Caenorhabditis elegans: one gene and its partners. The protein of the gene in region 2 interacts with the protein of the main gene of each other region in a pairwise test. Each region holds a gene or a part of one and is shown on either strand. Other genes may lie near its edges.

What was found.
Region 1: the proteins of tap-1 (region 2) and ain-1 interact in a two-hybrid assay, tested with the Caenorhabditis elegans proteins (one large-scale study listed by BioGRID).
Region 3: the proteins of tap-1 (region 2) and ufd-2 interact in a two-hybrid assay, tested with the Caenorhabditis elegans proteins (one large-scale study listed by BioGRID).
Region 4: the proteins of tap-1 (region 2) and ftt-2 interact in a two-hybrid assay, tested with the Caenorhabditis elegans proteins (one large-scale study listed by BioGRID).

The regions. Positions count from the first base shown.
Region 1 is NC_003284.9:16,610,786-16,619,623, reverse strand, and holds ain-1 (ALG-1 INteracting protein), read right to left. Parts: upstream 6,174-8,838; 5' UTR 6,132-6,173; coding exon 5,951-6,131; intron 5,908-5,950; coding exon 5,755-5,907; intron 5,698-5,754; coding exon 4,879-5,697; intron 4,754-4,878; coding exon 4,662-4,753; intron 4,618-4,661; coding exon 4,102-4,617; intron 3,753-4,101; exon of another isoform or gene 3,604-3,752; intron 3,542-3,603; coding exon 3,377-3,541; 3' UTR 1,949-3,376; downstream 1-1,948.
Region 2 is NC_003284.9:14,586,797-14,593,396, reverse strand, and holds tap-1 (TGF-beta-activated kinase 1 and MAP3K7-binding protein 1), read right to left. Parts: upstream 3,774-6,600; 5' UTR 3,740-3,773; coding exon 3,603-3,739; intron 3,243-3,602; coding exon 3,107-3,242; intron 3,063-3,106; coding exon 2,919-3,062; intron 2,875-2,918; coding exon 2,798-2,874; intron 2,745-2,797; coding exon 2,636-2,744; intron 2,592-2,635; coding exon 2,466-2,591; intron 2,293-2,465; coding exon 2,207-2,292; intron 2,112-2,206; coding exon 2,015-2,111; intron 1,862-2,014; coding exon 1,613-1,861; 3' UTR 1,576-1,612; downstream 1-1,575. Other genes in the region: bltp-3B (Chorein N-terminal domain-containing protein), read left to right, coding at 4,311-4,354, 4,643-4,748, 4,797-4,892, 5,118-5,191, 5,242-5,359, 5,409-5,519, 5,723-5,858, 6,378-6,600. UniProt on the Caenorhabditis elegans protein: Involved in the Wnt signaling pathway by regulating mom-4 kinase activity.
Region 3 is NC_003280.10:8,060,055-8,068,090, reverse strand, and holds ufd-2 (Ubiquitin conjugation factor E4 ufd-2), read right to left. Parts: upstream 5,351-8,036; 5' UTR 5,340-5,350; coding exon 5,283-5,339; intron 5,241-5,282; coding exon 4,914-5,240; intron 4,869-4,913; coding exon 3,947-4,868; intron 3,897-3,946; coding exon 2,987-3,896; intron 2,939-2,986; coding exon 2,584-2,938; intron 2,532-2,583; coding exon 2,148-2,531; 3' UTR 1,898-2,147; downstream 1-1,897. Other genes in the region: pdha-1 (Pyruvate dehydrogenase E1 component subunit alpha), read right to left, coding at 286-369, 421-997, 1,077-1,646, 1,778-1,791; T05H10.8 (peroxiredoxin-like family protein), read right to left, coding at 6,627-6,767, 6,812-7,015, 7,366-7,615, 7,659-7,746, 7,795-7,917. UniProt on the Caenorhabditis elegans protein: Acts as an E4 ubiquitin ligase mediating the assembly of polyubiquitin chains on substrates ubiquitinated by another E3 ubiquitin ligase. The elongation of preexisting ubiquitin chains preferentially targets ubiquitin 'Lys-29' and 'Lys-48' residues.
Region 4 is NC_003284.9:11,602,003-11,608,157, forward strand, and holds ftt-2 (14-3-3 domain-containing protein), read right to left. Parts: upstream 3,418-6,155; 5' UTR 3,379-3,417; coding exon 3,328-3,378; intron 3,279-3,327; coding exon 2,906-3,278; intron 2,631-2,905; coding exon of another isoform or gene 2,467-2,630; intron 2,439-2,466; coding exon 2,275-2,438; intron 2,210-2,274; coding exon 2,051-2,209; 3' UTR 1,706-2,050; downstream 1-1,705. UniProt on the Caenorhabditis elegans protein: Required for extension of lifespan by sir-2.1. Required to modulate lifespan, in concert with hcf-1, acting redundantly with 14-3-3-like protein par-5. Promotes nuclear export of yap-1.

The DNA of each region.
Region 1 (8,838 bases), 2.0 Mb from region 2:
ATTGCACATTTTTTGCAAATGACTATTCTCTAATGATACATGGAAGGCACTGTAAAACGATCCAACAAGATTGTAGAATAACTAGAAGTTGTTCAGTGAACAGAAAATTTTACAAGTTGGTCTACAAAAATATTAAAATCATTGTTTCCCTGATAAAAATAAATTCTCGTAGCTGACATCAGCATTGATTTTTTAACAGAACAGTCTTTCAAAAATGTGTCCTCGGTAGTATAGTGGTGAGTATCCGCGTCTGTCACATGCGAGACCCGGGTTCAATTCCCGGCCGGGGAGAATCTTTTTTTGATGAATTGCATGTTCCATTCTGATCACTTCAATTAATTTACAATGACAAACCGATTATCATAACATAATAGAAAAAAGTAACATAAATTTAGTTCGGATGATATTAGCGTTTCCCAGTACTGATTTTGAAATCTATATTGGCACACTTTCTGAAAACAAAGAAGGGGTTTTAACAGGGCAAAGAAAAATTGATAGGCGACTCTGAGATGGCAGGAAATTTACAAAAATTAATGGTTTCTGATTCCCAAAGTCAAAAGAAAATTCTTCTATAGGGATTAAAACTAGAATTCACAGAAATAAAATCTAATGGGGTTATTCAAGTAGTGTCGGAAAATTAAAAAGTGTAGAAAAATTACGTCACAACTGTATTAAAATACATAAAAACATGTATTTTAATACATTTGTGACGTCACATACATTTTGCTACATTACTTGAATAACCCCATAAAAAACGTTTTCAGCAAAACCTATATTTGACCAGAACCATCCACGATGTTTGTGCAGACCTTCGTAAATATACAGATGCACTCACGCACTGAAATTCCTGGACACCATCAAAACCTTCTCAAAAAAGAAAAACAATTATGAAAAGAGACTATGAACCATCTAGGACTATTGCGACTAAGTAAGTAAGTAAGTTTACTTTTCAGCTCTGCGGAAAAATTGGACATTAGTCTTGCATGTATGTAGGTCTCCCATAGGAAACTCTGCGAATGGCAAACTTGAGTCCCGCTTTTTCTTGTTCTACATTTGCTCATACATGAATGGCAGCTCATATTTTGTATACTTTTGGCTATAATTGAAAAAGTCAATTGACAAGTATGTTTTCTCATAGTTATTTTACATATTATTAATCAGCCCAAATGAAACAATTTCAGCAAGATTTATACCGTAAATCTGGGGTTAACTTACATTAATGTTTTTGAAAGCCTCCGAATTCATTGAAAAATGTGTCCTCGGTAGTATAGTGGTGAGTATCCGCGTCTGTCACATGCGAGACCCGGGTTCAATTCCCGGCCGGGGAGAATCTTTTTGCTCGTTTGGCTTTAATGGTCATTTTAAGATATTGGTCTTTGATGTAGATATCAAATAGGAAATTCTGTAAGTGGCAAACTTGAGTACTTATTTTTTCAGGCTATACATTTGCTCATGCATCATTGGCAGCTTATATTTTGTATACTTTTGGTTTTAATGCGACAAGGTCAACTGTCAAATTATTTTATGTTTGTTTTTTCATATTTATTTTACATACTATTAGTCGGCCAAAATGCTACAATTTAAGTAAGAATTGCAGAGTAAATCTGGTTTCAACTTACATTAATGATTTTGAAAGCCTCCGAATTCTTTGAAAAATGTGTCCTCGGTAGTATAGTGGTGAGTATCCGCGTCTGTCACATGCGAGACCCTGGTTCAATTCCCGGCCGGGGAGAATCTTTTTGACAAGCTTTTATTTTACGAGAAATGGTTTCTGGCTGCACAGGTGATACCAAAAAGCGGTTGCTGAACAAATTGGCTATTTTGAATACAAAATATTAATTGTGTTTCTATCATACACTCAAACCTAAAACTTGAAATAAATATTAAAATAAATACAGAAACAGTGCTATTTCATTTCTGCTCCCTAAAATTGAACATTCCAGAGTTTAATTCACAACGTTTTATTATACGAGAATAGAACCAAAGGTGATGTTGGACGGCATGGGTGTTACAAGTAAAGTATGGTAAGAGATAAGAAAACAGTTTTGATTATTACATGTTCATGCGAGATTTAATCAAGATTTTTGAGAGCCGGAGTGAGAAATGAGAGAGGGGAATTGACAAATTTCTGGAAGAGAGAGGGTCCCGAATTGTGAAACTGTACTGCACATAATGAGTTTATTTGAAGTCCGGTAAGTTTGGAGAAGAAGACAATGAAATGAGAACACCATTTTGTTTGAAATTGAGAGCGAGAATTCGGAAAAGGGCCGTACTAGGAATTGACCTGGTTTCTAGGGAAATGCTGCCGGGACGACGAGTTTATGTATCGTTTAGAAAGGCGTTTCTTGTATTTATTTTTGTATGATTTTCAAAGTGTGCGCATGTAGCTGATTGAACCAATTTTGACAAGTTTTCAGGGATAATTTCATCACAATTTTTGGTTGGAACTTAGTGAGTGAGGGTGAGAGCAAAAAGAGACAAGAGACGGGAGACATTAGCACATTGAAACTGTAAAGAATGACGTAGAAAAGACCCAGATTACAAATGACGTTTGGAAGCAAAGCATACACAGAAATTTTGATTCAAATTAAAAATGGGAATAGCTTGATTGAAAAGTGAACGTGGGGGATTAAGAGTAGTGGGGTGAAAATGCTCGCAGAGGCTCTGCAGAAAGTGCAGTTTTAGTGGAAATAGCCCCAAAAACTGAATTATATTTTCGAAAGGATACAATTTAAAAAAAGAAATACAGTATTTTGATTAATATGGACTTTATTATATTTTGAGGTTTGGATGTTATGGAAAAGGGAAAGTAAGATGGATTTACGCGTGGTTGGAAATTGTTGGAACAAAGACCCCTATTATGAGAGAGAGAGAAGAGAAGGTATGAACTGGCAGACATAAACCTGGAATCCCTGTGAGACCAAGCACCAGCCACCAAATTATTCTTAGTGGGAGGGGGAAAGGCGAGAGCCTCCCCTTAAACAAGAAAAATTGATTATCTGGAGATGGCAAAACGAGAGGTGAAATACAAAAAACGTGTAATTTTCCCCGTCTGATCAGCAGTAAAGAAGGAAGGAGACGACAAGATAGAGAGAACATTCACAAGACCACGTTTACAATAGAAATCCGGAGGCAATAAAGTAAGGAAACAGACACACACACACACGAAATTAAAGAGAAAGGGGGAGAGTAAAAAAGTATTGAAGAAAATGTCAAAGGTCACTGAGACAAGTTAATGGGAAATGATGATGACAAGGCTGAAACTTTGAATTTCAAATTTCCAAACTTAAAATTCAGATTACAGTGCGAAACACAAAATAAAAGTAATGATGATAATTGTTCGTGTGTGGGAGAGAAGATCGGTGGGCGATACAATCTATTCTAAGAACGAGTAGTGATAGTCCTCCGTTGAGGCTGGCGCACGTTGCTCCTGCGGTTGCACAATTCCAGCGTCCATCAGCGCACGGTTCACTTTTTTCGAGTATTCTTGAACTTCAATCTTTGCTGTCGTCACTTCGATGATGAGACGATTGTGTTCAAGCTGGAAAATTGATTTGTTTGGTATTCATATTATTCATCTTTGCAAGCAATCGAACTGAAGTAATCTGAGCTCCTTAGCGATGCGTCTAATATTTTTCAAAAGTTTGATATTAAAGGATTAAAGGACGATCCGTACTTCAGGTGTTATGCACTGCGGATCTGGAATTCAGTTCCGTAGTGCACTGTCTGGTGGGGCTCCCACCGGGCTATTATTTGAGCCACGTTCAAGCCGGGGACCGTGACCGATAATCCAGTCGTTGATTGCTCCACTTCTCAATAGAGGCTGGGTAAACCTAGGGGGCTTGAACTCATGACTTCCAGCTTGCTAGCGGCCACCACTACCGACTGAGCTATCCCGCCGCCCAATTTAAAATCTAGGTTTAAGCAGGATCTAAGCTAGTTTTCTGGTAAGGTTGATATTTTAAATTTCTAGCAAAATGTCTAGCTTTCATTTGTTTCCTATAATAATAGGTTGTAGTATGATAATTATTTTGGCTTCTACTATTTTAATTTTTCATAATTTTATCCTGAACAACCTGAAAACTCGACAATCTTCCTCACCTTTTGACTATCATTCATGTACTTTTGTTGATTCTGTGGATCAACCTCTTTCACATCTTCTGGCAGAGAACTCTCAATTATCTGCTTCAGCTCATTCTCCACACTATCCAACGCTGGAATTTTGACGAGCAGCATATTGACATACTGCAGCACCATTGGCGGTAAGTTGGCCATCATCGTCACGCTCTGGTCCAGGTATCCCTTGTCGACAGCGTTCTTCAGCATCTCCGCCACAGCCACGTGTTGATTGGTTCCGGGCTCATTGAGTGGAATTGTTCCTCCCTGCACCCACGATCCAGTGGTGTTGTCACTGGAGAATGTTGAAGTGTGCTGATTCGGAAGATACCATGGATTTTGCTCAGTTGTCAAGTCGTTCCATCTGTTGTTCTCGTCGAATATCGTCGACTCGCTCTTGGACGGATTGTTTGGATCATTTTCTGGAAGCTCTCCCCATCCGGTCACAACAATTGGCCGTTTCGCTGGTACTGGGAATGGGAAACGTTGATTGTCCTCTCCCTGAGACATGAAGTTCAATTTAATACCTAAGACAACAATATTACCTTTTTCTGTGGTACTGGACATCGGTTCAATGCAGTTTCCAAATCCTCATCGGCACCTTCGCCAACAATCCACAAGCTAATGGTACGGTCAGCTGCAAAAATAGTCGATAATAGGTGATTTCTATAGCAACACATTTAGACTAATTTCAGTTTTTCATGAAACAATGGAGAATTTCATTCAATTCCCACCAAGGAAATATTTTTTTAAAAAACTCACTTTGCTTCTCCGGGTCTCCCCAATAGGACACTCCAGTATCTCTCTGCCATTTCTTGAGTTCTCCGTTTGGATCATGCCAAACAGTCAGTGTGAGATCATCAGCAGCTCCGCCGATTGGGAATGGATTGTTGTACTGCTGGTCTCCTCCCATGAACTGCTGCATGCTTCCACCACTTCCATTGTTTCCGGTGCTGTTCCACATATTGGATCCTCCGCCACTCTGGCTTCCACTGTGTCCCATTCCACCACGGTTGTTGTAGTTTCTTTGACCGCCGTGGCCTCCTTGACCTCCACCAGCATTGTTATTCTTCCATGATCCGTGTCCACTATTCGGAGCAACACCCATATTTCTCATTCCACCCATACCACCTCCCATGTGCATATCCATCGGTGGTGGAACTGAAACGTCAACACCGCCACCCATATTGCCAGAGTACCGTCCCTGGTTGTGGTTTGGACGACCGTTTCGGGGCGGCATGCCTGACATTCCACGATTGCTGTCCTGCCCCCATGGACGGTTCATCTGCTTGTTGCCACCCATGTTATTCGGGCCACCCCATCCCCCTTGGTAGTCTTGCTGCTGCTGCATCATTGGCCCACTACGTTGTCCTTGTCCTGGTGGTCCATGTCTCATGCCTGTATTCCAGGCTCCCTGCAGCAATGGCATCGGGTATTGCTGATGCTGTTGAGGCTGTTGCTGTTTCCAAAAGTCATCAGATTCTTTTCCCATTCCTCCGTTACTCCAAACCGGGTGCGCTGGCTGAGACCCTATGGACCAAGGCGCAGATTGACCTCCAAGACTATTCAATTCACCGAACGCTGAAAATTTATAGATTTAAATTTATAAATATAACGTCTAATCAAATTTGAACTTACAGGCATGTGGTTGAAGTGGATACTGCACATCGCTCAATGGTGGATCACCCCATATCTGTTTCTCATAATCTGTATTCTGAATGCCACCCCATTGGCTTTGACTTGATGAGCCTGTGCCACTGAGTCCAACAAGGGCTTCGTTGACATTTGGCTCTGAAACAATTTTTACGTCATCAAGATTACAATTGCCAATTACCGATATCGTTCGATTCCTGTTGCCATGGCGATCTGTTTGGGAACTGTGGCTGCGGTACCGGCGGAGCCCAGACACGTTGCTGCTGGAGACCGTTGTTTCCCCATACAGGCTGTTGGTCGTTAGGATGCCACGCTGCGTCGTCTATTGAAATGTTGTTGAAGTTTTTTGCGAGACTCTCCATGGTTGCGTTGATCGCGCTCTGGCGATCAGAGTTTGAGCTTATCTGTAAAAAATGGAATATTATTGATTGATGAGTTTTGGCGAGAGCGTGATGGTAAATGATAGATGACAAGAGAAAACAAAGAAACTGATAGACTGATTGATAACACTATTTGATTTCGACATGGGTACATTGGTCGAACAACATTAGCCGCGTAACGAGCAGGATTTCATGAAGGCAATTGAAAATTTTACGGACCAGGAGTATCAGCTTAATAGAAATTTTATAAAAAATGATCTAAAGCCATTCAAACAGTATTGAGCAAAATTATGTTTTACAAGATCATTGTCAAAGTTAGAAAGCATAAACTATTAATTAATGCAATACTGCTAGATAGAAACAAGTTCAGTGTAAAAAGCGTTCTCCTGTAAAAAGGTAAACATTAAAAAATTTAATAAGTTTTGTACAACCTACATAACTACTGTTGTAAAGAAAGGCCCCAAAAGCCCCCGGGGCGCTGCTGGCTAGGTGGGAACTAGGCGGACAAGGGGTTAAGGAAAAAGCAGGAAAGAGAGAAAGGAGAAGGAAAAAGCAGAAGAAGGAGAGAGACTAGTTAGAAGAGGGGTCTGGTGCTTCGCAGGCTGGTTGGCTGGGCTGCTGCTGCTGCTGCTGCTGCTGCTGCTGGCTACCCCGATCGAGGGCGAGAAGGCGACCGGCGACGACATTGCGCGTTTCTCTCCCTGTCTGTCTCTCTCCATCTCATAGTGAGAGGCCAACATCAAATTGCTTGCCGGGCGAGAGACGCAGCGGAAACTCCCCGTCTTTCCACTTTTTCCTCGCTTCACTACTACTAACCCCCGTGAGTCTGTCCGCTCACGCTTCACTCATCAGACCACCCTCCCGCACTCTCGCTCTCTCTTTTTCTTTCACGAATCAATGAGACCGCTGTGTGTATGTGTGTGTGTGTGCAGAGAGAAGAAGGAACGTAGGGTCAACTGAGAGGGTTTCATGTCGTGTAGAGACGGAGAAACCGCACCGCCGCACACTCACGCGCTCATGCGCTCACCACCGCACTCATAGACACTCATCGACGTGCGCTCGACCACTCACCACCATTTCTCTTCATCTCTGGTGGTTCTCCCCGTATCTAACAGTATATACGTCTGTGTGGCCAGTTCTACACACACACACACATACACACACTACCAATATATTTTCGATATGTGGGATGGACGGGACACACGAGCGAAGATGGACGGGATGAACAGCGGGACGGGCGACATGCCAAACTTGAAACACTTTTTGGTTGGAAATAGATTCGGAGAGAAATTGATTAGGAACTTGTTAATTGAGGATACTAAGGATATTTAACAGAAATTCACCAATTTTCTGAAAATTTGACATTACAGTGGTTTTTCTCTGTTATGAAAAGTTGGCTATATCGTAACTTTTTGTACTTTGTGAAATATTTAAATTCAAACAGGAGATGATAAATCTAAAAAGGAAAAAGATGAAACATTATGTTGAAATTCTTAAGACAGTGTTCATTAATTTGACACGCCAAAACAGCCGAGGCTATCAATTTTTGGTGACTGAATTTTTTCGACCTTGTGTGCCGCCACCGCTCGGGAACCAGAAACTGTGAGTGCTAGACAGTTGAGGGTTTGTTTTCCTTCGCATCAAGTTCACGTGACCCGGTGAGGTGGAAGAGAATTGGGAATGAGAAATCTATACTGTTTTTCACACGGAGAAGAAAACATGAAGAGAAACTTTTGAATAACGAGAAAAATGTTTTTCTTTTTCAAAATTGAAAATAGAAGACAAAAAACAAACACGCTGAGAGAAAAGAGGCAATTAATAAAAGAAAAAACGACCAGTAGAAAAAGCAGGTGTTATTAGGCTCCGGGAGAGAGAAAGGGTCAAGCGGGAAGTGTTGGTAGTGTGGTCCAGCGCGGAACAAGATCGCGAATGCGTGTAGCAATTGGACAGATGGGTCGTCGAGATAGTACGCGTTGCACAGAGATGCCGATGGTGAGCGTAGGGCCCAGCGCACTGCCTCCCACCTATCGTTGATCAATCGATTTCTTACTCGCGTCTCGAGAGGGGCTACTCAATCAACACATTTCTAACACTTGACTAAAAGTTTTACATGGTTTAACTCTTTTCTTTTTTGTTGATAATCTTTTATCAATAGATTTCAAACTTATATGCTATTCATAGTTCATTATTGAAGCTTCTAGTTAATTATTATGACATTGAAATATTTTTTTAATTTGCTATCACAAAGAAAGAAACCAATTGTCACATAGAATCAAAAAATTGGCATTTTCTATTCAATAACCCATATATTAAATCAATAATCACTAACGCATAAAATGATCCTAAAATACTTTTGATGATTTTCAAATGATTTGTTCAAGGAAACTTAAAGCAATTTATGTGAAAATTCGATAAAACTCAGTATCAAAGAAAAAATAAAATAAAACCAAATAAAACTAAATAAAACTAGGTAAAACTAAGTAAGTAAGTAAAATCGAAAAAGATTCTAAAATATTTAAAAAAATCAGAAGTCAAAAATCCAATTCTACAAGATGATAAACCGACGAATTAATTTTTGTTCGTAATTCCTAGAACTACTGTGTTTTTCATTGCAGTATTTCTTGCAATACCATTTTTTGACTGTTTATATTTGAAATTCAATATACAAAACTGGAATTTACGTAGGATT
Region 2 (6,600 bases):
ATAGAAAATCTAGTTACGCGTCGTTGTATGTTACTCCGGATATTTCAATTGAGTCGTTCAACTTGACGAATAACGTATGGGGCCGCTTAGAAACATTCGTTTTAGATTATAGGGTTAAACTAGCTTTTGCATCTGAAAACAGCTTGTGAGTAGAAAAAAAACCATAGCTTGTATCCAACGTATTAAATTATTATTATTAGTGTAATAGTGGGTTAAGAGAGCCAAAGAAAACGTAAGATGCAAATTTTAACATATCCGTTTTAATATATGCAAATGGAAATCTAGAAGTTCAAAACATCAATAGTTTAAATAGATAAAAACAGTTTGACAAGACGCCTACTCTGTACAAATTTAAAAAACCAAACTGATTGCACTCAGCATGTTGTCTTGCAATTTCAAAGCATTACATCTAAAACCGCTCCTTATAGTGCGCAAGTGGTGTCAGGCTGTACCAATACGGTTTGAAATACAAAAAAAGCGGGATTTTTTCGCACAGAAAGATTGAGAACTCTGTATCTCAACCGCCGCATTTTTGTTGATCTACGTAGATCAAACCGAAGCGGGACATTCTGGCGCCACGTGAGTGTGTAGATATAAAGAATTTTTTAAATTTCTATACAATCAAAAATTGGCAACCAATCTTTTCGACGAACATTTCAAAAGTTGTCACCGAATTTTTGAGTGAAAACCTCCAAAAATCCAAATTTTTCAATGTTTTTATTATGTTTTCCGAACATTTGGGACTATTTTAGGTATGCGGGATTAAAAAAAAAAATTTTTTTGGCTCCCAGTTATATGTGTAAATCCTAACTTTTTTCTCTGAAAAACTAAACTGATAAAAACGACATTTGTCAAGATCAAAAAGCGATGACATAAGCTTTCCTTGCAACAAAACCTACAAATCTGTGTGCCTCTAAATAAGCGTTTCAGATCATTTCAAATTCACGATAACGACCGATTGTTGAAAAAGGTAAATTATGTAACAGAATTTGCGTCTTGTTTTTTGAAATGCAGAAAAAGACCAATACGGAAAAATCTAGTCTCAAAATCAGGACAAAAGCGTTGATGTGAAATTCAAGAAATTTGATCTCACACCAGCTCAAGCAACTCCTCCCCCGCATCTCTCGTCAGAGATTTTTTTTTCAAAATAAAACAAAGAAATAGGAAAAGAAAAGTTTAGATCTATGTAGTAGCAACAATAGAAATTATTTTGACGGTCGACTTGAAAAATGTTTCTTGATCTTTTCAAAATTGTTCCCAGAGTTGAGATTGGTAGCTTCCACGTAAGGTGTCGAACAGGGCACACAAGTGGTGTCAGAGTTACTCATTTTGGTTTGATCTACGTAGATCAATAATACAAAAAATGCGGGAGAAGGGGACGCAGAGTTCTCCACTGATTTCGTATGGTTAAGAACGCGCTGACGTCGCATTTTTTTTGGGCGAAAAAATCCCGCTATTTTTCTAGATCAATCCGTGATGGGACATCCTGGCACATGGCACCACATAGGCACATATAACGTTACATTTGTAATGAAAGCATCATAATCATACTCCCCGCAAAAATAACACATAATACATGATAACAAATATTTATATTTACTAGCAACAATATTTATTTTGAAGGTCGAGTTAGAAGTAGTTTCTTCATCTTTTCATAATTTTTTCCAGAATTGAAGTTGGTAGCATCGACATATGGTGTCGAGCAGGGCTCATACAATGTTGCATTTGTAGATTCCATTGTCGAAATCGCTGAATCGAATTGTTCGTAAAGAGCCGCTTGGTAATCTTCCTCGAGCTTCACATAAATCACAGTCATTTCCTCTCTGTGATTACTGATACAGAAATTTTTATCGTCGCTCATCTGAAAATAAAATAAAAATAATATGGCAATGTGGAATAGCAAAATACATCCGCCCAATGTTTGAACAAATTTAATTGAATTGAGAAGAAATAGGTAAAATTTTGTAAATTGTATTCAAATTTGCTTATCTAAAAAAGGGTAAATCCAACAAACCGTGTAAGCATCGCGATGCTTTCTTGCAAACGAGTCTACCAATGCCTGCGCTGTACTTGTAACTGTGTGATCTTCAATTAGTCGAACGGATACTTCTCTGAAAACTGGGGAATCGATGAAAATTTTATTTTTTATTTTTATAAACGTGTGACTTGGTTATTGACGAAAAAGTTCCATAAGTTTGCTACTTACGTTGGGATGTTTTCAACTTCAACTTCCTTAAGATTCTGAACTACACCGTCGGAGATCAGAACCAAATGTCTCCAGGATGGGTCGATCTAAAAGTAGAAGTTACCTGTTGGTTGGAAAATAAGCATTTAAAAAAAGAAAAGAAAACATGTTCTCATTTTGTAATCAAATCTGAGGTGTTGTGACTAATATTTTCATTGAATTTGATCTTTTATCTTGTTTTTCGTAAAATGTTCCAGAACAACATTTCATCATAGCAAACCTTTGTATACTGAACATCTGGAGTAGAAATAACCGGTGGTCCTTTTGCATTCTTGAAAGCTTCCGTCTCTTCAAACAGGTGGGTTCGTTGTAAGTCACCGATCGCTCTAGTTGGATTCAGAACTGTCTGTAAACTTATTTTGTAAAATTATTACAAAAAAAATTAATTACCTCCGGATTAATCCCTAGCCCTTTTATTCGTACAATCTCCAAAGGATTGTCATTATTGTGTAGATTTGAGTTGAGCTGCACTACGTTCTCACTGTTCATAGCAATTGCGCTGAAAGTTTTTTTTTTTCAAAAATTCCTAACAAACAGTTTCAAAAATCTTACAGAGAGTTTCCGCAATTTAGCACATATAGGTCCTGGTTAATGATCATGACTACTATGGCAGTGGTACCTTGGCGAATCTGAAAATTTGGGAGATTATAATAATTTCAAAATTTAGTCTAACTTTTTGATTGATTTCCGATACTGCATTATTTCCAGTTTCCGACTGTTCCTCCAACTTTAACAGTCGATTGTTCAAATCATCGGTGTTCATCAACAAATAACGCTCGGCAACGTTTTCAAATTTCCGTTTAAATTCTTCCACCACCTGAAAATGTAGTTGTAGAGTTGAAAATTTGATTGTTAAATCACTTGATAAGGGAGTAGTGTTGGTGTAATTGGATTTTCTCCAAAAATCTCATATACCAATCTGTTCATGACAAACTTCGCTGTTGAATCGCCACCATTAAATCCGGAAAAAATACCGTAGAGTTTGATGGGTCCATTGCTGAAAAATGAAAATTTGTTAACTTTTACTATTAATGTAATCTACTAATCTGTGTCTACATGATCTTTCATGTTTTAACAAAAAATTACGATAAATATAGTTTTATTTTTTAATTGATGTACTTGTGACATTTACTTCCTTGCAAACAAATTGTATTTAACACCTTCAATGTATCGTTCCAAAACTTTCTCTTTTCATTTTTTGTTCATTGTGTTACTAGACAAGGAAAGTGTAAAAATTGCATTTTCCCACGTAATCGTTCAGTTTATTTTCCACTGAATTGCTGTAAAATTTGACTTTTTTCCTAATTAAGATCGGTTTATGTTTCATTTTGCAACAAAAAAAGTAGAATAAACTCACTGTATGCACATGGAGCACGATAAAAAATCGTTGTTCTGCACCGGATTTTTTTGTTTTGAGTAGCGGCAGCTGTGCACAGTGCCAATGCCCGCATCGGTGTTGGCAGGGTATTGATCGAGGAACCCGTCGTCCCCCATTTTGCCTGTGCTCTGCGACTGCTCTCCTGCTTATCTACAATCAAATTCACGATGAGTTAGAGAAATAATGACAGAGAAAACGATTAATACAAACGATAAACAAATTTGTTGATTGACTACTTCTACTTTCTTTTTTATTATATAAACGTTCAATGAGCAACAACAAAAAATTCTAATCAAATTATATTTTTATATTGAAATACAATTTAAAAAAAGGGAAAAATTCTAATTCTAATCTTCAAAATCTATATCCGGTCTTTTTTCTCACGCCAAAACGCGTTTCTATTCTTATCAAAAAGCAGCAATGGCTAGCCAAGCACAAACACGTTGAGAGAATTGGCATGCCGACGCGCGCACGCACCCTCCCAAGCATACACCGCCGCGTGTGCCAAACGCGCTCCATTGGCAAAAACCGATAGTCGCAATTTGGACAATTAATGCATTTTCGCATAAATAATGAGCACATTGTTTTTGATTCAATATGTTCTATTGATGATTTTCTGTGTATTTATGTAGTTTTTTGTAGTTCGCACCTGAAAATCGATTTTTTTTGCAGAATTGTACACCGAAGATGACGTCAATAATCAAAAACCAGCTAGTCAAACATTTATCCAAGTAAGTTAATTTTTGAGTGTATTGAAAAATATTAAAAATCGATGACAACGTCAAACATATTTTTTCTCAAATAATACCCTCCTTGTTTAGTTGATAAAATGGATGTTAAAATTTTTGTAACGCCACTGGGAATTTTGCCAAAATATGCTCCAAATCGCTTAAAAAAACCAAAAATATCTTGGTAATTGCTACTTGTGACAATAAGTATAAAATTTCAAATTTTTTTTGAAAAGTTTTACTATGGAATTTAATCAAGTTTGCACCCTCAAAAAATTCACTTTTTTTCAGATTCACAAAAAACTTGAAGCCCGAGCAGATATCCTTAGACGTGTTAAAAGGAAATAGTAAACTTCAGTTTATTGAAATTAACGAAGATGTTTTGACAGAGATTTTGGTGAGTTTTAAATGTACATGCTTTCCTTGCATAAACTCAAAATTTCAGGAGCTTCCTTCGTGGTTGAAAATCAAACGAGCATTCTGTACAGGTGTAGCTGTGAATGTACCATGGACCAAATTGAAAACTTGCCCAATTCAGATTGTAGGTTGTTTTCTTTTTTTTGAATTAGAAATTGAAGTAGACAAATTTATTCTCGTATTTTGAATAATTATATCAGACAAATTAAATCTGCCAAATGTTGCATTTTTGATAACGTTTTCTATTTTGTAAAAAAAAAGTTATAAATATTTTGAAAAGTGTCATAGTCTCACATAAACTCCTTTTTCATTCAAATTCATGCTTTTATAATCGTAAAAATAATTTCAGTTCATTGATGAAATCAATGTGGATGTGGAGCTTACCAATGAGCATAAAAAACAGGCAAAATCAAATCCACTTGGGTAAGCATAGTTCTACCATTTTCGAAATTAAACCCTTCACGTTTTTGCAGAAATCTCGGTGACAGCAGTTCATACGGCTTCATGAACAAAATCATCGAAAACATGTCTTTGTATATAAGTTCTGTAGAAATTAACTTTGATTCCGACGTATTCGGAGGCTCATTTATGGTTTGTGTTTGCTCAGCCGGAAAATGTTTTAATTAATGAAATTTTTCAGCTTCAACGATTGTCAGTGGAGAGCAGAAGTCCAGGATGGGCTCAAGTGAAAGACTTGCGTCAGACTAGAATTACGTGCTCGGAGACAAATAGAACATTGATGTTTAAGCAGGTGAATTTTTAAAAAGAAACATTTCTAGAATCAATTTGAATAATTATAAATCTAAAAATATCTCATCAAAGATGAATCTTAAAAAATGTGATTAGAAAAAAAATATTCAGGAAAAATACATAGTTGGATTTTTAAAATTTTCAAAAAAACATCTGATATTCAAATTGTTAAAATAGGCTTAAAATAAAACCTCCAACTTACAGCTTTCCTGGCATCTCCTTCGCATTGAAGCCTCAGCGAAAACTTCGAAAAATGAGCAGCGATCCAAAATCAATGCTCCATTACGATTGATCACGAGTGGCGGAAAAATTCGAATTGCATTGAAAAAGAATGTAAATGGTGAGTTTTTGTTGGTAAAGCAGAGAATACAAAAAAAAGTGGAATAAAATTGAATCGTATGCCGAGTTTTAAATGCAGTTTTGGAACTTTTATTGCCCATAAAATCATGGGAATTTTTTTATGTGTGTATATAAGAGCATATTCTGGATTTTGAGGAAAAATTTTGTAAAAAAAAAGTAGATAGAAAATTTACGAATTCATTTTTTTCAATGAAATTGATGTTCAATTAAAAGTGGACTACGGCCAATGGAAAAATAACTAAATCCCATTCCTGTAATGCTAAAATTACTAAATATCATTAAGAAAATTTCCAGAAGCTTCTGAAAAGTTTCATTGATATTTGGTAGTTGTAGCCCTATAGGAATAGTTTTAAACCATTTTTCCACTAGCCGTGGGCCACCTTCAAATTCATTTAAAGAATTAAAGTTTCAAGAATATTCAACTTTGTCTCCTCTGATCGAACTATTTTAGACTATATCTTTTCAAGCTTTAAACCCTTTCTATTTTAATCTTTTCCAGACGGCTCGGTAATCCACGCTAGAATTCAAACAATCCTCGACGACATTCTCTGGGTCGCCACACTTCCCCAACTCCGCTCAGCAATCTCATTTGCCAGTTACATTGCCAAACTTGTCAAAGAGTCTCAGAAAAACGATGTGATAACCACAAGCAGCGGGAACGATAATCCGTTTATGAAAGCCGCCGGCAACAGTGCGACGGCCGACGCGAGCACAATTTCCTC
Region 3 (8,036 bases), on a different chromosome or scaffold from region 2:
TTATACCTGAAGTAACATTGAAATAAGTGGACGGAAAATTTAAAGGGGTTTTTTAAAAACTTCTCAATTTCCACTAGTTTTAAAGTTTGACCATGAATGATTAACGGTGAGAAAATGTGATTTATGCAATTGAAAATCGAGAAGAAAAGTGAACAACTAGAAACTAGAAATGAACTCATCGGAAGAAAACAGTCACCGAAACTATATAAAAGCACTAAAAACTTAATTTCGTAAGAATTATTATAAATTTTTGCCAGTCAATGTTGCATAGAAAATTCGTGTCGTTTAAGCTCTTCCAATAGACTTCAGTACATCAGCAGAAGTTTTGAATGGCTGGACGATAGTTTCATCAATAGTGGCTCCGCGAATCTGAAAATGTGAACAATAATTGACGAAAAAATAATGAATGTTATTACTTACCTCTTGAGCTGGGGTGTTGTGATAAATATCGGCGTAGAGAGCTTCTGGTGGGAGAACACCGTCTGATGTAGCAATCTTCAACGCTTCATCGACCTCTTTGCGAACTTCCTTGTCAATAGCCTTAAGTTCTTCCTCTGTGGCCAATGAAGATGTAATGATACGGTCCTTGAATCCAGTAATTGGGTCTCTTGTTTTACGAACTTCTTGAATCTCTTCACGGGTACGGTAGCTGGTTCCTGGGTCAGACATAGAGTGTCCATGGTATCTATAGGTGGCCATTTCCATCATAAGTGGTCCTTTACCACTGTCACAATATTCCTTAGCCCACTTGGTAGCCTCGCGAACAGCGAGAATGTCCATACCATCAACCCAGATTCCAGGAACATAGTCTCCTCTAGTATAATACTCGGTAGAAGCAGATGAACGTTCAGCAGTAGTTCCCATTCCGAATCCATTGTTTTCGCAAACGAACAGAACAGGAAGATCCCAAAGTTTAGCCATGTTAGTCGCCTCGAAAAGTTGTCCTTGATTAGCGGCACCATCACCATACAAAGTAACACATACATTCTTTTGTTCACTGAAAATAAAATAAAATATTTAGATGAAAAAATATGAGTTGTTCTCGTAAAAAAATACATCAAAATTTGTTAACATACCGGTATTTCATGGCCAATGCAACTCCAGCTCCAAGTGGCTGTTGTGCTCCAACAATTCCGTTTCCTCCATAGAAATTCTTTGTGTACATATGCATGGATCCTCCTTTTCCGTGAACATTTCCGGCAACTCTACCGGTCAATTCAGCAAGAACCTCGGTTACGGTAGCTCCAAGAAGCCAGGTCCATCCGTGACAACGGTAAGCAGTGATGACGGCATCTCCTTCTGTCATTGCAGCCTTCATTCCGACGGCACAAGCTTCTTGACCAGAGTAGAGATGACAGAAACCGCGGATTTTCTTCTCCTTGTACAAGTTTCCAGCAGCAGACTCCATGCGACGAATGACCTGCATGTCACGGTAGTACTTGAGAGCATCTTCTCTGTTCAAGGTGACAGAGGTGTTTGGTCCATTGTCAAGTTTATGAAGTTTGCATGGCTTTGTGTGGAATGATACTTCCGTGCTCGCAAGACGAACTTGCTGTGTGCGGATTCCACTGGCAGTCAAGGATTGAAGTTGTCTCGCGAATAAAGACATTGCCGTCGACCAAATACGTTCCAGATGTACCAAGCTACTGAAAGCAGTAAATATATTTCAAAAATAAAAATTAATCGGATTTGGGATGACTGGGAACGTATAAATATTATAAGTTATTGACATGTAACAAATCACAAAACAATACGACACCGTTCGTTATAAACCTACAGAAATTTAGTCATTCCAGGTTCAAGGCTAAAATCAGAATATGTGAAGAAATTCACAAAGAATAAAAATATAAGTATGCGGATCGGAGACCGCAATAGAAGCCAAAATTTAGAAAATAAGTAAATTAGTATAAATTTATTCACATTCAAGGCACTACTCGTGTTTTTTAGGTTTGATGAAAGAGGGCAAGAATACCAACTTTAAGGAATCCATGCAGAAAATGAAACCGAAACCGAAAGATTAGACCATTGAGAGACCAGAAAAACTTATAAAATGAAAGGAACGCGTGAAATTTACAGACATTTTGCACATGTGCAATGGTCAAGTACAATAAATACAAAATTGGGTAACAATAGAATATGATAGAAAATTATTTCTTTGAATTTCTTTTCTGGCAAATCCATTCCTGAATCTTTGCCTTCAACTCAGAATCGGGAGAAAGCTCATTGTGCGACAAGGGAGCACGATTAAACGGATTATTGGGTGTACTGAGAAGATGCCTCTCGATGACTGCACGATCCATCACGTGTCCTGATGGCAATTTGACAGGATCAACCATAATTGCATCCATAATAGGATCCTTGAACTCTTCTGGTACATCATCATACTCTTCTTCAAGCTCAGCTTTTGCCTCATACTCTTTTTTAACATCTTCGGCCAAATGTTCGAAACTTTCGAGTTGACTGAATCCAACAATACTATTCTTTCTCATGCATTCAATCGCATTATGGAAGAATTCAGGACTGTAGGTACGCTGAAAAATAATTAAAATAAATCTCTTTGAATAAACAAATGTGTTAACCAACCTCGTCGTATGCTATGTATTTAACAAATGCAGGCATATTCAGCTTTAAATAGATTGAGATCAGCAACGATACAAACTCCCGTGGTTCCCATCCATAACTTCTTGGATCCTTGACTTTCAACTCGGAGGCCTTGCTACCAATGAGTTGCGATAAATTGTGATTCAACATTGCAGCAAGTCTTTCGCCGAGAACCGGAGTACGGAAAGGTTCGGGTGAGTTTACGGTAATCGATAGTAGCAATTTAAGATTACTTTTGGCTGTTCCAAGCCATCCCTTCACTTTACGTTTTGCCTCCTCGTACACGCCGAGATCCTGATTACGGATTTCTTGATCTGTGTTGTCCCATTCGACTTTGCTGAAAATAAAATTTATATTTTTAAGTTATCATTCGAAATAGTCTTACTTCGCCATCTTTTTCTCAACATCATGGATACTCTTCAAACCAGACAAGCTCTCATCTATACACCATGTTGCATCGTTAATCACCATATTGACAAACCGAATGAACTCTGCTCCGCATTCTCTTGCCATGTCCATAAACTTTCCTTTGTAGAACATATCTTCCTCCATTTTTTCCAACATGTACTGGATATTTCCACGAACGTTAAACTTTTCATAAAAGTCACCATTGTCTTCGAAATCCGAGTAGAACTTTATCATGCACATCAATAAATTTTCTTGTGCCATTCGAAGTCTGACCACGTTGAACCATAATGGAGGTTGAATAGAAGACAGCACTCTCACCAGTTTGGAAACGAGAAATGGGCTTTTGATGTAGTGATATTGTGTGAAAAGGACCGTCAGACGGGAAATCCAATCCGCATTTCTCTCCATGAGCAGTTTCATTCCATTGGAAATAGCGAATATGTAAAAATCGAGAGCATCCTCTAGAAAATATTCTGGGAGCGCACAAAACATTTGTGATACTTCAGTTGGAAGTTGACTGTCGTCTCCGAGCAAATCCAAGTTATCACAAAGCAAATTCAAAATGAATTTCATCTGCTTATCGACAAAATCCATAGAAGATGCCATTAATGCAGGATCTTGAGCTTGTGTCTTAACACATAAAAGATGACGAGACATGAGCTTCCAGTGTTCAGTCTCATAGTTCAACTTCTTTTCCACCTCAGCTCTCTCGAATCCTGACACAGTATTTAGTTTTTCTTTGAGCGCATTGATCTTATGCTTGAGCTCCTTAAGGTGTCGAGAGTATTCACTTATTTGATTCATCAATGGAGGAATAACGAGCCTCTGTGCTGCAATTGTCAGGAAGAAGCAGACTGTAGAGAAATGATATTCATCTGGACGATCTGCTGGAAAAAGAAAACAAGTTAATTTTTTGAGAAAGAAAAATGAAACTTACCGAATTGGCTAGCAAAAGCGACTGCTCCTGATTCGTCCATTTTGAGACGAGTCTCCTTGGAAATATTTATAAGCGAACTCGGTAAAAACGGATAATCTACGATAATTTTGGACAAGTCGATTTTCTCGGAAAACATGTACATCACGGACAAAAAATTTGTCATATAATGATCACACAAGACATCTGAAGGATCATAATGTGAACGAGTGCGAATGTCATTGGTGCTTATGATGGTGGCAATCCATCTTAGAGTTTTGTTGCGACTTCCTTGATCCGAAGCAAGCGGAAGCATCAATTGATGAAGCATAGTTCGAATTGGATCCATTCTTTGGAAATACAGTTTCTGCTCAGTGTTGACTGATCCATCATATTTTCTTGCATCTTCTTCACAATCCACAAAAACTCGATGATTTGGACGCCTTGCTGATGATTCGAGGCCGTACGAAAAGAACGGTCCTAGGAAGGACATTAAACCAAACTCGCGTCCTTGTATTTTTTCGGACGGCGTTGGGAGAAAATCTTCTCGATTAACAAGTAGGTTACTCAGTGGGCGAGGTCCGTTTGAAGGGAGTCTGATACTGAGAAGCAAGTTCATCACACGAAGGATCTGACGAACAATTTCGTCCTTATTGTCTTCAAAGCGTTGACAAATAATTCCGCTCCGCAAAATCCCGAAAATTGGATTAAATGTTTCTGTAATAGCGTCTTCATCGCATTCATCTGTACTTGCAAGGTATTCAACCAATGTTCTTAGAAAAACATTTGACACCGTATCCTCCAGAAGTCTTTTTGTGAACACCAAACTAGCATGTTGGCTGCGAAGTTGGCTCTCCAAGTAGCCTCTCTGTATCATCACAAAAACTGAGAAAACTGCTTTCCTGGTAGATTCGAGAGTTTTCTTGTAGCAATTTGAAGTACCGCTCTGAAAATTGTTAAATTAAAAATAGAACTATATTAGATAGAGTACCTTTCCAAGCTCATGATGGCAACGAACAAAATTGATTAAGAGAAACTCGATGGCGTCTTCTTCACGACATCCAGCAATGATATCAGGGTCGATGAAATTGAACGATCTTGACAGCCCCCTTCTTGATCCATCTTGAGATAAAAGTACAAACTTTGTGATTATTTCGGCAATGTTCGATTGCAGACACTGAGGAGAAACATCAAAATTCAGATTTTGAACATCGATTATCGCATCGGCGTAACGAAGCATTCTGTCATCTGATTTACCTTCACAGTCAAAGAGACTTGTGAGGAAGTCTTTGCTTTCAACATCTGCCTGAAAAAAGAACTAATCGCCTATGAGTATATAAAATGTCAGGCAAAAACGCACCACAGAAGCATCACTTATGTCCATCGGCTGCAAGCCTGCTTTCTCGTCTTCAATCATCTACGATTTCTGGAAATTCGTGATGATCACGTGATTTTGATAAGTAGAGTAACGATAAAGAGAATGGTGAGAGGTCTGATAACAAATATTTTACGGTAATGGGAACATTTATGAGACGGAAAAATTAAACGCAGAGGATTGTATGAAAACAATATTGGACTAGAATTGTGTATAGAGGAAAACATAAAATTATTTTCGAGAGCAAAAACTGTAGGAAGACATTTGCACCGCGCGCGCAAGAGATAGAAAAATCGAAGGAGCAATGCAGCTGCAAAGACGCTGACATTTCGGCCTCTCAATGAACATGCAGTGGAGCGCGTTTGCTGCACTACCGAGACACCACATTTTTGCAGGAGAGAAACATCGGTAGAAAACTGAATTCGGAAGAACGAGTGTTAAATATTGTATCTTTATGATTCTATTTTCAGACACCACTTAATTTGAATATTTTTAGAGCAATAAGAATTTGAAGGGGCAGATAAATTAAGCAACAAAAAAGTATATAAATGAACGAGACTGTGGATGGAACGCACATTTTTGATTTTACAAAATTTTATTCTTTAATAAATATTGTTTTTTTTAAACGAGAATAAACCTCACTTTCAATAAAAATCGTTTAGTTAACTATAGTTTCAAGAGGAAAACAGTAGCGCAACTCAACAATCGATTGTGTACAATTGAGACCCGAGGGACGTCATTGTGAGACTCACCCAATTCTAGACATTTATAGGCGGGTACCTGGTCCACCAGCAGATGTCCTTCAATACGATAAAAAATCAATCAATACACACGTTTGTTGCTACTCTGATGCAATCGTAAATATTCCGGGATATGGCCAGGGTACTGTAGGATTACCGTGGATTATTGTACTTTTAGAAAACTATTGAAACGATCAAAAAAATTCATATGGCCATATATGGTTTGCCTTGAAACTTCTATGTAATAGTGTTGTGTTTTATTCTTCAGATGATAGATTTTTAAATTGATTGAAAATTGAAAATAAATTGAACTTTTTTATTCCAAGAATACAGTAAAAGTTTAATAAACGAGTCTGAAAATCTTCAACCAAAAGAAATCAAAGCATCCGAACATCTTTTTTCACTGTAAAATAACAACCACATTAAATTCGAGTGTTTTTTTTTTGGAAGTTCCACATTGGAACAAATTGAAAATAAATTAATGTTTATGTTATTTCATAGTTAAATAATCTAATATTAAAATAATGAATTAATAATGAGATCAGCCAAGATAACATGTATGGTTTTAATGTAAATGTAGTCTAGATATTTAACTAATTACGCAACACGGTTTCTTTTTGTCCGTCGCCAGTTCCTTTGTTACAGAAATTTCCGAATTCACTTTTGCCAGATTTCCACCTTTCGGAATTGATATTGTAGAATTATTAGTGCTCTCCAAGTATTTGGCGTTCTGGAGAAGTTTGTTAAGAGAGTTTTAAAAATAAAAAAGCATACCCTTGCTTCAACCAGTTTTACTATTTCATCAATATCTGGCCATGAATCTGATTTATCGTCTTCAATGTGCTTGTAAAGAATTTCTCCTGATTTATCCACAAGTACAGTACCACCTTTTTGAGAAATGTAAGAAACTGAGTCTTCTGAGCTTGATGCTTCTTTCGCAACAATTGAATCTCCTTCGACGAGAGAGGCTTCCACAACCTGAAAATTTCCAATTTATACACAATGATTGCTTATCCTTCCCACGTTGCAATTTGATATCAACTTTTTTGCTCAACGTTCGCCAAAGAATAAAAATTTGTTTGAATTTCCGACAAACTGTTACTTTCAACAAACTCTTTTCCAATCTTGATCTTGAAGCTTGAAATTTTGATGTGAATGTTTCAAAGTTGGATAAGAAAACTTTGGACCATATTTTTTTTTCTTTCATTATTTATTATATTTTTGCCAAATTCATGAATTTATTCATATTTTTTGTTCAAAAAGGAAGTTAGATAAAATACCTTTTGTCCCCTTTTATGAAGATAATGAAAATAAGTCATAACTCTTACCTTGCAAAGCGTTCTCCATCCATTATATTCCAGTGCAGACTTTCTATTCATTTTTAATTGTTCTTCAGCCTCATTCATATCATATAATTTACGAAAAGGAACTCCAATAAGCTTAATGTATGCACCACCACTTGATCCAATTGGTGGTCCCTTTGTCAATAAGAATACATCACATCTTAGTTTCCTTAACTCATCAATTCTGTTATATAATCCCAAAATATGCTCATTAACTTCTGGCCTGTTGAATGCTCTGAAGTTTAACCATTTTTATTTGGAAAATCAGAAAAACAAACCGAACTACAATAATGAGCACACAATCAAAAGCACTTCCTGTAACATAATAAGAAATAGTTTTGCTTTGAAGTCCGAGAATTCCAGAATCTGAAAGAAAAATCAAAATAATACATTTTGAAATACAATAAGGAGTACCTTCTGGAAGAGTGGTAACTGCACTTTTGACTGGTCCAAGCGTCTTTTCCAGTTCATCATCAATTTCACGAAGAAAGATGTCCCAAGCTTCAAACGACTCTCGTAGTGCTTTACCCGAAGCTTCTGGAAATTCATTTTTTTTAATTTATAGAATTTTGAACCAAATTGTGAGGTATAAAAATTATGAGAATTTTTCATTTGAACATTTATTCTGATCCTCTTTTATAGCTACAGATTTTTGT
Region 4 (6,155 bases), 3.0 Mb from region 2:
CAAAGACGATATGACTTGATATGACTCGGATATTTGACTCGATATGACTCGGATAAGTTAGTTAAACCAGCTTTTTAGCACCATTACATTTGCTGCAACCTATATAGTTTAACGCAAAAGCATAAAGTTCTTGCAATTTTATTTAGGCAATCGTTTTGTTGCTTTTGCACAAAAATGTCTGAAACCTTGAAATGTCAAGCATTTCCTGTCAAGCATTTGCGCACAATTTACGGAATACTACATAATAATAAATTATAATATGGTTTAATTTTCTAATTTTCGGAATATAACCTAGTTTGAAAGTTCAAAGAAATTTCTGGTTTTCGGTAATTCGAGCTATTTCAATAAATGCCGAAAATTTGTCGGCAATTCCCTCATCCGACGATCGCTGAAATTTGTCGATTGCATTGCAACCCAGGTCTGAATACATTGCAAAATTATAGTTAATTTTTTTGCAACATTTATTGGTGTGTCAATTAACCTTCTTCAGAAAAATTGCATGTTTTTATTTGTGTGGTATAGAATGCTATTTTTGTACACATTGCCGGTTAGAGTTTTGGAAACCTTGAAAATCATCATTAACAAACCTTCAACTGCTTTATAAAAATTCATATTTTCAAAAATTATTATCATTTTCAACAATCGTTAATTTTTTTGCAATTTTCAATTTTTAAGGTTTTTGGCAAATGAAACTTTTGTCATTTTTGTTTTCTAAATATTTTGGGAATGATAAAATTTTTCAAAAACATTTATTTTTAGAAGTTGGTTAAAAACGAATGTATTAGAACCATCATTATTCACAAATGCAATTTTGGGTAAATTGATTGTAATAAAGTTGTTCACATTATTTCGTTATGTTTTTTGCTTATATTTCCGAGAAAAGCTTCAGTTATAATTATTGCAAAATGTAGAAAATATAATGTTTGGCTTTCAAATATATGTAGATTAGTTACCAACAAATGAAACCCAATTTTTAATATTTAAAACTGCATTCAAAACAACAGGACTTCTTCTTCTTCTTCAAAAAAAACATGACAATTTTCGAAATTGTTTTTGGTATTCTTATGTATTCGGCTTTCAAACTTTTCAACTAAAGCACAAATGTTCATTTAATTGTAAAGTGGTACAAAAGTAGCTCGTTCCCAAAACCCTGCTCTTTCTGCATAGAACTATCTCAATTACCAGTGTACCAATTACCACTCCTTATATTATCGGCTGTAAAAACCCCAATTTTTTGGTTGTTAGCTGGCGCCGCCACCTGGCGTTGCAAATGAAACCTACCCGTCCAAATAAGTAGTTTTCAAGTATGTCACTAACCAAAATTTTGCTATATCTGTAAAGCCAATTTAACTAGAAATAAACCTATGAAAGTGTCATGTACCGGAGATTTAATCCAGGACTCCACCTTTTCTTATTCCTCAATGAATATGAACATTAAATTCTAGTTTTCATCTTTGTTCATATCTATAATAAATGAAATAAATTTTGAATTGAACCTTAGCAAGTGCCTAAGACGTAGTAGTTATCTTGGTTAAGGAAGAACAACCTGCAATAACAAGATGTCGCTAAAAGAAAACGTTCGTTTCAGTTTTCTTTTCTCATTCGAACTTTGTTCAATTGCACTAATTTTTATACATTTGGATGTCAATCGGAATCCTCCCCTCTTAATATTTCTTCGACGTGATTATCTGCGTTAATTTCTCATATTGAAGTTGGTGTTACAACTTTATTATGTGTATTCAAAAGCTTGGGGGTGTTTCGAATGTCGAGATTTGAAAGGGGGAAAAGCCGTAACAAAACGGAACATTGAATTGTATGGGTAGAGACGGGAAGTTTTGATGAGTGGGCTCAGCACAGAAATTTGAATAACTTCTGCATTTGGTTGATGGGAAAAGGGGAGTGATTGATGAATTTATAGAAAAAAATGGAAAGAAAAACGATGGTTTAACTAGTCAATGGTAATAAATAAATCATATGACAAATAGTATTATTTATCATTTTCAAGATCGAGGTGAGGGGTGTGTGGCGGTAACGTGTCGGTGTGAAGGAGTTAGTTGCCTCCCTCTGTCTCGTTGGCATCAGTGTCATCGGTGGCAGCGTCCGAGGTCCAGAGAGTCAAGTTGTCACGGAGAAGCTGCATGATGAGGGTAGAGTCCTTGTATGAGTCCTCGTTGAGGGTGTCGAGCTCAGCGATGGCGTCATCGAAAGCCTGAAAGATTAAAGGTAATCAATAGCTTTGAAGTTACGATGCTATGTCAAAAACTTAACGAGCACCTGCTTGGAAAGCTGGCATGCTCTATCCGGGCTTGCTGCTACTTCATAAAAAAACACCGAATAATTGAGTGCAAGACCAAGGCGAACACAGTTCGTTGGTGACAGATCTTTATTTGCAATTTCAAGTGCCTCCGCGTAAGCCGTTTGTCCAATGTTGGCTACTGCTAAAATAAAATAAAAACATTAACACACCTGCTTGGCAAGCTGGCAAGCCTTGTCCGGGGCGTTCAAGATCTCATAGAAGAAGACAGAGAAGTTGAGAGCAAGTCCCAGGCGGATTGGGTGAGTTGGTTGCATCTTATCCTTGGCAATGTCGAACGCCTCTTGGTAGCTTTGCTGCGACTTCTCGACAACCGCTGCAAAGAAGGAATATTCATTTCTGGTCTTCTTTGAAACGAGTATGACTATGAGAGGCAGAACTCCCTAGAGGAGAACCCCCAATGAGCTGCCCTAGAGTTTATTTTCAAAAACTACGCATCGATGTGGAATTGGGTCGCGCCTGAACTCCCGTTCTCTGTCTTCCCTATGATATCTTTCCACACTTCACACAAGGATGCATAGCTTACGAATGAGGGTTAGAAACGAGTGCACGGTTATGTCCCAATTACAGTCATCATTTTCAATCACTTACAGTTTCTGTCGTCTCCGGAGGCGACCTCAGCGAGGTAACGGTAGTAGTCTCCCTTCATCTTGAGGTAGAAGACCTTGGACTCGGCGGCTCCAGCCTTTGGAATGAGGAACTTGTCGAGCAAGTTGAGAACGTCTTGGCAGATGTCGCGGAGCTCCTTCTCAACCTTCTCACGGTATTCCTTGGCCATTTGTTGCTTCTTCTCAGATCCTTCGGTCTTCTGCTCAATTGAAGAGATGACTCTCCATGAAGAACGACGGGCTCCGACGACGTTCTTGTAGGCAACGGAGAGAAGATTGCGCTCCTCGTTGGAGAGCTCAGCTCCCAGCTCGGTGACCTTCTTCATGGATGCGGCCATGTCGTCGTAACGCTCAGCCTGAAATTAAAGTTTTAGTATTCAAGAACATCCTGAGACATCTACATACCTGCTCGGCAAGCTTGGCGCGGTTCACGAGCTCTTCCTTTCCGTCAGACATAGTTGATTTAGTTGCTTGAAGTGGATGAGTCACTGAAAAACGAGAATATAAAGAGTTTGATACAAAAAGGTCAAATGAGAAAGAGAAGAAAGAGGGCGGTAAACAAATGAAGATTGTTTGAAGAAAGCAAAGAATGGCTCCTTTCCGTATTCTTATATGATATGAAACTGATGGGACATTTTCATCTCTTCTAACACGAGGCGTATGAGCCCTTGTAGAAGTATACACAATGCATCAAGAAGAAACGAGAAGGACGTTGTCGAGCGAGTAATGTTGAACAGAGTGAGCGGCACCCCTCCCAGCCCTCCCTCTCGTTTTCTGTGCGTCTCTCCCTATCTGCCGAAAGGAGCGCGCACCATCATTTTAGGGTCTGTAAAAACCATTCAAACTGCGAATTTCAGAATAAAAATTATATATTCTGAGAGGGGAAAGTCTGTTTCATCAGCTAAAGTGAAGAAAATATAAGTTTTGATATCTGTGTTTAAAAAGAGCCGTTTGGCGCGCTACAAACACACAATTGCGGAGTGATTCGAGGGGGCTGCCAACAGAAAACCGCCGCCTCCTACGACTCATAAAGGGTCTCTTTCGCAATGTGTCAACAAGAGCGCGCACCACATTTCTTCTTTGAAGGAAGTCAACATAATTTCAGATATATTAGATGAAAATTAGATATTCGGGTTCGTCTTTTTCCGGGCTTTTAGTTGACTAGAAACTCGGCCTAAAATCTTGAACTTTGAATATTTTTGTGCAGAAAATAGGACGAAAACATCGGACATGCGGAGGCTTCTAGGGGGCTGCCTTTTGCCCACCCACCAGGCGCTCGGTCGTCATTTGAAGTCGCTCTGTTATTCAAATAGAAAGAGCGCTCACCATAACTCTTTGGGCCATAATTTACCTTCAAATTATCTTGAGTAATGTATGGTCTGAAAATTTGAAAATGTGACTACAGAAGCTTGCCGTTTTCAAAGTTAAATGATGATTCTTGCATGTTCCTGGATGTTTCTGGAAACTTGGAGCAAATTCAAACAATGCGGCAGCGCTTTGGGGGCTACTTTGACGACCGCTGCAGACTTGTTCTAAATCAATGACCAGCGGCGGTGGGCTCGGAGGCTCGGAGCTGATGCGGTTGGCTCTCGCTTCACAACAGCCTAGGATCGAATATGCAGGGCGCGTAAACATGCAGGCAAAACAGGCTGATAATCGTGTTACTTAACTTGAAAGTGCCTGGTATTTGCCTTAAATTACAAAGGAGATTCAGAAAAATAATTAGCATGATAAATTTACAATTCTAAACTACATATAAGGCCAGGTTCTATTCATTCTTTTCATTAATTCATATGTAGAATTTTACAAAAATGTTTATTACAATAGTATCTGTAATTTTTCCTGATGTTTCTGAAACTGTAACTGGTATTTTGTACAAACATCCATATCAATTAGAATTGGTGTCGCGGAACACATCCGACTGTTGTTTGATCTTCATTTTTGTTGTCTTCACTTCCGATTTTCGAGGAAGTACATGTACATCTTCATTCTTCCTATCCCGAAACCTTTCAAACCCCATTCTATCAAAACAGAATTAGGAACAACAGATGCGTGGTGTGGTGCGCAACTATACAGAGACCTTCAACGCAATTTACGTCTTATCTATTCCACATCTTCTTTCACCGTGCAGTGAGGTATACTCTTACTCATCAATGAGAACTGTTGTCTTACGGGAAAGATTCAAAAACCAGTGAACCCACCTTCAATTTGAAAAATACGTTTCTAAATATATTTATTCGCATTTCTCAGACTGCCCCAATTACCAAAATGGGCTTTTCATTTTTGGCCATTTCAGGATTAGCGGCCGACGGAGCAGTGAAGTCGTGGGAACCTATTAGATGTTTGGTCAAGGTTGTGCCCAGACTCCAAATTGTTTTGAACAAGGCACCACCTGCTGGTCATTTTTCAAATGTTCTTTCTTTCTGAAGGTCCTCTGAGAGATGGAAGGATGTTTGTAGTTTTCTTTATTACGACCACTTTACAATTCAATTCGGGGGAAGCATTTAATTTAAAATTCTTCTCTATGTGTGTGTGTGTGTGCAGATTTCAACTTTCTTTACAACTTGGCTCAATGAGACTTCGATACTTAGATATTGAGACTTCAGACTAACAGAAAATGAGAAATGAATGATCATGTGAAATAGGATATAAGCTCATAAAGTCAAAGTGCATAATACTCCCTAATGTAATATTCATGAGTAATCATTGATGCTTACACTCTGTCTCGACTTCCTATCTGTTCTTGGTTAGCAGAATATTTAGCAGTTCTGTGAATCTGCACGGTGAGAAAATTTCACAGTTTGCATGTTTTCATTTATTCAACCAGTCATTCGATTACTGGCCAAGTGAACAACAACGTCGCGTGGGATATGAAAATTGGAAAATTTTGAAATTGGTCTGCATTTGGCAGAGTGTCCCCCTACTTTTCAAAACAATCCAATTTCCAATTCATGATCACAGATGATTCTAGTTTTACTAAAAAAAAAAGGTTGACTGTATCATCTGCCTTCATAGTAACTATATTTACGAAAACGTCATGTGTTACAGTTTTGTAGAATAACATTGAAGAAGACGATCTCTTTTTTTGTTATATTTGTCATGTGTCGATTGTTGACTAAGACGCTCGGAAATCAAGCGACCACCTGCACATTTATTGTGAAAATACCCAAAAATACTCGAAAATCGGCGTACGTAAATTGAAAAATGAAACACTTGAAGATTTGCCTTACAAT